Rattus norvegicus: one gene and its partner. Each later gene encodes a partner of the first gene's protein in a complex. Links are inferred from orthologs where the notes say so. Each region holds a gene or a part of one and is shown on either strand. Other genes may lie near its edges.

Region 1 (2,760 bases):
TCCCTACCCCTGTCACCGTAGGTGCTAAATGAAGATGGGTATTCCTCTACCATCAAGGACAAGATCCTGACCATCGATGTGAGGCCTGGGTGGAGGCAGGGCACGCGCATCACCTTTGAGAAGGAAGGGGACCAGGTGAGAGGGAGAGAAGCTGGCTCGGGGCAGTCAGTCACCAGGTTCAGGTAGTGGGGGGACCGAGAGGGAAGGAACACATTTTTTTCCTGTTCCTACAAGTTTTGGTCTAGAGTTAGGTGGTCCCCAGAGCCCCTTCCCAGGGACAGAGCATCCCAATGCTTCTGTGAGCTCAGCTTGGAGATCACTACCATTTTCCACAGTGGGAAACTGAGGTCCGAGATGGAAGAAACTTGCTCAAGATATGAACACAAAAGGCTGAAAGAAGGGCCTGGGGAGATGACCCAATACCACCCAGGGATGGAGACCTGGACTTGGTCCCCAGCGCCATTGGCAGAGCCCCTGTGATACCAGTGCTGGAGAGGCAGAGACAGAGGATCTTGGGGTTTACTGAACAGCCAGTCTGAATTGATGTGCTCTTGGGTCAGGAGAGATCCTGTCTCAAAAAATAAGATGGAGAGCAAGTGTCAATTTGTCGCCTCCGCCAGCACATACATGAATATAGGCCTGTGCTCACACAGAGGAAACACGCGTGTGCACATATACACACATACACACAGACAGAGAGGAACACACACACAGTGTAACACACACAGAGGAACACACATACACAGAGAGACAGAGACAGAGAGAGACAGAGACAGAGGAACACACACACAGTGGGACACACACACACACACACACACACACACACACACACACACACACACACACCCCTGGCGGGAGAACTCAGTTCAGCTTCCCTTCCAGTGTCTTTCCTTGGTGCAAGGAGAAAGATGTTCAGAAGCATTTAATTAATAACAATATTAAGCTAAAATACCTGTGGAAACATTGTTATTGTACAAGGATCCCAAGTGCTTACATGTTGACAAGAAACAGTAATGGCCAGCTCAGAGCTGAGAGAGATGGATTCTCTTGCCCCCACTTGTCCCTTTCTTACGTGGAAAACACCTGCTTCCAACAATCATGCTTCAACCTGGGCCATTGCGAGCCACAGCAATTCAGGAGGCTGAGGCAGGGGATCACTTGAGCCTTAGGAGTTTGAGTTCAACCTGGGTGACATAGCGAATTCCAGGCTAGTCTGGCTACAGAGTGAGACCCTGTCATAAGTAAGCGAGAAGACAGGCAAGCAAATAGATATTCAGTGCCAACATCCTCCACTCTGGCCAGCTTTTCCCAACCTTGGCATGGCCCAGGGCCTCCTCAGAGCCTAACCTCTGGCCCTCCCTTCATCTGGGCTTTGAGCTTACAATTTTTGACTATAAGGCAATTTCTGACCATCTGACTATTTCTTGTCCTGGGAACAGCAGCTGCTCTTGCTCTCTGTCTTCAGTGGTCAGAGTTGAGGCAGCTCACTGAAGCGAAGAGATCACTGCTGAGTTTCTGTTAGGCAGAGCAGCTGTTTGACCCCAGCTCAGGGTCTAGCTATCACTTGCGGAAGTCCCTGCCCCACACTACTGAGAACACTTACTTTGAGCATGCTCAGTAGAGAAGTGCTTTGGGAGTGGGAAGTGATTTTGATCTAGGGAAGCTTCTCTAGAGGGTGGCCCTAGGCCACACTGAATGCTCCCTCTAGAAAACTGGGCCTAGTTCTCCTTGCACAGTGAGGACCTGGAGACAAGTAGAGACAGAAATGTGGCCAAATCATATAAGCAATAAACCCGTTACCCCTTGGCTTTCCCCGCCTAGGGCCCCAACATTATCCCGGCCGATATTATCTTCATCGTAAAGGAGAAGCTGCACCCTCGCTTCCGCAGGGAGCAGGACAACCTCTTCTTTGTGTACCCCATTCCTTTGGGCAAGGTGAGTGGGTACAGCGCAGAAGGCCATGGGGGCCCAGAGTGAACCCCACCTGCAGCAGCTCAGTTCCATCTCTTCTCCCCTAACCAACTTCTGCAGTCACAGGCAGGGCCCTATATCTCTCTCCCTGGCATTAGTTGGATCTGTGGGACAGCCCCTCCCCATCTCATCTTCCCACCCTGTCCTGGTCCTGCTGCTGTCCCCAGGCTCTCAACATGTCCAAGTGGTTCTCCTCAAGGTGCCCCCGTTGACTCATTCTTTGCACTTCAGGTCTCAGGGTGAGGACACCTGCCCACCTCACCCTAGAGCTGCTGCCCCTACTGTGTGGCAGCATTCAGAGCCTGTCACCCCTGCCTCTCAAAAGCCTTACACTCTGTCATCACGGAACTGCCTAGCTCAGGGTTGGAACCCAGGTAGACTCCCAGACACCTTCTAAATAGAATGGCTGCAGTGATGCCCTGTAGACCTCTCTCTCACTCTAACCTCCCCCACCCTCAGGCCCTTACCTGCTGCACTGTGGAGGTGAAGACCCTTGATGACCGGCTGCTCAACATCCCCATCAACGACATTGTCCAGTGAGTCTGTCTGCCTAGTCCCCAAGTAGCCACAGAGAAGATGGACTAAGACTTGGCAGGGCTGTGCAGGGAACCCTGGGAACCCAGGCTAGGATTCAAATCCACTGGCCTCTGCCTGAGCCACGGGCTGTGTTCACCCTATGGTGGGATCACCTTTCTCTAACCCATGGGAAGCCCCTGCATAGGCCCGAGAAGCCCAGTGCTGGTCCATCTCTTGTCTCCATCCCCAAAATCTTCATCAGAGCATGGAGCA
Region 2 (4,298 bases), on another chromosome or scaffold:
TGAACATGCTTTTTCCTGCTGATCCCTTCCCAGTGATGGATGCGAGGTGTGCACCACCATACCCAGCTGCAAAGGGGGATTAAATATTGTTCATGAATTAAGGGATCGTAGATCCTTAAGGAAAAGTTTGGCTCCAGGGTTGGGGCAAAAAAAAATATAAGCAGCCAGAGACAGTTTATTATGCCAGGAAGTAAGACTCTGACAATGTAGACACAGGAGCCATCTTGAAGGCTTATTCCAGTGCTACATTTTTGCTTCCACAGGAACCCATAATCTCAAACCCGGAACCTGTGGATGTTATGTTGTATGATAAAGGGGGCTTTGGAATTGTGATTAAGGATCTTAAATAAGGAGTGTGTGTTATACAAGCGGGACCTCTCAGTTACTTTTCTATTGGTGGTGAAGAGATACCACGATCAAGACGGTTTACAAAAGAAAGCACTTAACTTGAAGCTTTGCAGTTTTAGAGGGGGAATCACAGCCGCCATGGGATTGGGAGCATGGGCACAAGCAGGCACGGTGCTGGAACAGTTCTCAAAAGCTTGTCTTCACGTTGGAGGTAGGGGCAGACAGAGCGAGCCTGCTGTGGACTTTTGAAACCTCAAAGTCCACCCCCAGTGACACACCTCCTCCAACAAGACATCTCCGAAGCCTTTCAAAAGAGTTGCAGCAACTGTCAACCAAGCATTCAAATATCTGAGCCTCTCGGGCTCATTCTCACGGAAAGCGCCACATAGGCACAGCTGTAATTGCCAGAGGTGTCAGTAAGGCCAGACGTGGAGGGTGGCAGAGTGACAAAACACATGGAAGAAGGAGCATGAAAGTCAAGATCATGTCCAGAGACAGCTTCTAGAAGTCAGAAGACAGGGAAACGGAACATACAGAAGGGTTTGTGTGGATTAAGTTTTCCACATCCCTGCTGCTTCATGTGATCGGACGAGGAGTTGTTGTTTGGTGAAGTGCAACTTCCGATATCTTAGATTGAATATATGTGTGGCTCGACGAAATCCCCAGTGCAACCCCCAGTCACTGATCCTCTCGCTATTCTCGTAGAATCCCAGCACAGAATCACCAATGCACTGCCAGAGCGTCTCTCCATGCCTGGATTACTGAGTGACTGCTGCACTGCTTAAACGCGACAAGCCCTCTGAGGATACCACCCCTGGCACTTGTCCCACATTCAGTACCGAGTAAAGATGTCTGAGTGCTCTGATGTTGGGGGCGGGTGGGCAAAGGAAGGGCTCAGACTCTGTTGATCCATCAGCGTCCCTTCTTGCATTTATGCAAGCCTCTACCACCGAGCAATGCCAGGCCCATTGTTTGCTTTTTGTTGCTCTGGTAAACACTATGACCCGGGGGGAGGGGGGAAGAATTTATTTGGTTTACAGATTACACTCAGTCTATCATCAAGGAAAGCCAAGCCAGCAACGCAATGGGAGAGTGAGCGTGAAACAGTAACCATGAAAGGAAGGCTTTCGTTCTCTGGCTGATTCGGCTACCTTTTCTACACAGCCCAAGCCTGCCTTCTCAGGGACAAGCACTCCCCATAGTGGACATATGCCCATAATTAGCAACCAAGAAAATGCCTCCCAGACACGCCCACGAGTCAATCTGATGGAGACAATTCTTCATTTGAGATTTCCTGCCCCCAGGTATATCTAGGTTTGTGTCACATTGACAAGAACTAACCACGCACACCAGGGGAGAGTGCAAGCTAGAGCCTGGTGGAGGGTGTCTTTGGGCTAGCTGAAGTTGCTTGTGTGTGAGTTCACTCTGATATTTTGGTTGTGAGCCTAGCCTTTAACGGCTGAGCCATCTCTCCAGCCCGTGAGTTCACTCTGAAAGGTCTTAAAATTACCAAGCCAACAAGCCTGCAGCCTTGAAAGTGTCTCTCCTGACTTCAAAGATCTGCTGCTCCACAAGGCTCCTATCTAAGAAGAGTCCCCGTGTCTGCTGGGTTCCTCCCGCTGTTTCTCCACAGTGTTTCCTTTCCCATAAATCTGGTTCTCCCATCTGCGTGCCCCCTCCCCTACAGTGCGCGTTCCTGGCTCTATCGAGAGTGCACCCCCTCCCCTAGAGTGCGAATTCTCCTTTCATTTCCCTTTGCCTCCACTACTTGGGCTGCAATGGAACCTTAGCTCTACACTAGAGCGTGCTCTCGTTGCCAGGCAACGGGACGCGACTCACTGGCGTGTGGCCAGAACGTGCATCGGATGCGTGCACCAAGGAGGCTGGAGCGTTTTCCTTCGAACCGGCCCTCTAGTGTCTCTGCAGAAGCAGTTCTAAAATTTTCACCTTGAGAGTCAAGTAGGTCTCAACTCAGAATCCGAGGGAGGGTTAGTTCTCCTGTAAGAGCCTTTGGAGCGCAAGGACTCCTTCTCCTTCCTCCTCTCTTCCGGCTCCTCCTCTTTCTCTTCTTCCTCCCCCCCTCCTTCTCCCGCCCTCTAGCCACCCAATAGGAAAACTAATCTAAGTGTCTAGGTTGGTGGCTGCCTGATTGAAATTTACTTTTAGATAAGCAGGTTACTTGCTAGCACAAATATATATAAGACAATTATTCATTGTTTCTCAGAAATTAGGTCTGCGGTGGTTTTGAGTGCCGAATCCAGCACTCTTCCCAGGTCCTGGCAGAGAACCTCCTCCATTGTCTCAGAGCAGCTGCTCCAGATGTTTCTGTGGGAGCGGACTTTCTTCTGTGAAGCTGGATGAGCACTGGTGTTTGCTGGGAAATAACACTTCTTAGGACAGAAGAGATGGCTAGTAGTTTCCTAACCTGACCAGGAAATGTATGTTGCAGAGATGACAGAGGGACCTCATGAAAGCCCCACGGAGAACGCTAAGCAGCTGCCAGAGCCCCAGATCCTATGTTTTTGGAGCAGCAGGAAGAGTGTATTCCATGTTGTATATAAATGACACTGATACGTCCATGTGGTGATCTTATCTATAGAGAATTTCCCACAGAAGAAGCACCGTGAAGACACAGCCCAGTCAGTTGCCGTGTTTGTCTCTCTGTGATTAGGACACCAGTGCCAATCTAGTTGGAAATCAGCGTATTTGTGCCAGCTCCAGTCGTTCTTAGGGCTACACTATACATACACGTGTATATTCCTTTGGAAGCAGGAGCAATTTCTACATCTCCCTTTTCCTCCTGCATTGTGCCTCACTAGGAAACCACTGCCTATTTTAGAGAGCATTTCCAGCCCCTTATATTGTGGCTGGATTCCATGGTGTTGTATGTAATTGATCCCCTGCCAGGACATTCAGACAGCACTTTCAGTCTGACTATAATAATAACGTGTGAATAACCACGTTCACATGTCACTCCAGTCTTGAGTCTGCACCTTTGAGACAGGAGTCGAGAACTGCAATGGTGAACATATTCTGGTCTTTTAATCTCATTGGGTCACAATTCTGGGCTTGGGTGGGATCATTTGTTTGGTCTGTTATCCTATATAACTATAAATAGAAATAGTCACCCTAAAAAATACTCACGTATCTGCCTTCATACCTGAAAAGACTGGGGAACAGCTGAGAGTAGGCACACGTTTGATTACTTGCCACCATGGAGAGACAGCAGGGCACACACATGCGCATGCATGCACACACATACTAACACTCTCTTATACACTTTGTAGGCAGCATGACAAGGGCTGTATGAGCTACTTGAAGTAGGAGAAACTCCCTTGTACTGCTTGACAAAACTCCAGAGCCAGACATGATCTGTGGCTCGAAGGAGGAGGTATGTTCCAAGAGTAGAGAGGAAAGGATTATTGAGATGGGAAAGCACAGTGTGATAGCTAGAATATGGCAGGATATTCAGTGGGGTAAGAGCCCAGGATATATGATGACAGGGACGTGCTTGAGGTGAGTCTTAAGGGAAGCTGTGGTGGTTTGAATATGCTTGGTCCAGGGAGTGGCACTGTTAGGAGGTGTGGCCTTGTTGGAAGAAGTGCGTCACTCTGAAAGTGGGCTTTGAGAGCTTCTTCCTAGCTGCCTGAGGAGGATGCCAATCTTCTCCTGGAGGCCTTCACATTAAGATGTAGAATTCTCAGCTTCTCTCCTGCAATGCCTGCCTGGATACTGCCATGGTCCTGCTTTATGGATAATGAACTGAAACTCTGAAAATGCAAGCCAACCCCAATTAAGTGTTGTCCTTATAATAGTGGCCTTGGTCACGGGCACTGACTAACACAGAAGCTGATACCAGAGACTGAGGATCGCTGTGATACCATGGTTTTGGCTGGAGGAATGTGGCTTTTGGGACTTTGGATTTGGAAAGCCATGGAATGCTTCAAGTG

Evidence for each region.
Region 2: Dnajb13 (region 1) and Dydc1 share a complex: the UniProt entries of both Homo sapiens proteins name them as parts of the axonemal radial spoke complex. The link is inferred for Rattus norvegicus from reciprocal best matches to the Homo sapiens genes DNAJB13 and DYDC1.

Annotation. Positions count from the first base shown.
Region 1 is NC_086019.1:164,262,375-164,265,134, reverse strand, and holds part of Dnajb13 (dnaJ homolog subfamily B member 13), read left to right. Parts: exon of another isoform or gene 1-21; coding exon 22-135; exon of another isoform or gene 136-568; intron 569-1,821; coding exon 1,822-1,935; intron 1,936-2,430; coding exon 2,431-2,507; intron 2,508-2,760. UniProt on the Homo sapiens protein: Functions as part of axonemal radial spoke complexes that play an important part in the motility of sperm and cilia.
Region 2 is NC_086034.1:16,973,627-16,977,924, forward strand, and holds the start of Dydc1 (DPY30 domain-containing protein 1), read left to right. Parts: upstream 1-1,405; 5' UTR 1,406-1,652; intron 1,653-2,153; exon of another isoform or gene 2,154-2,408; intron 2,409-4,298. UniProt on the Homo sapiens protein: Functions as part of axonemal radial spoke complexes that play an important part in the motility of sperm and cilia. Plays a crucial role during acrosome biogenesis.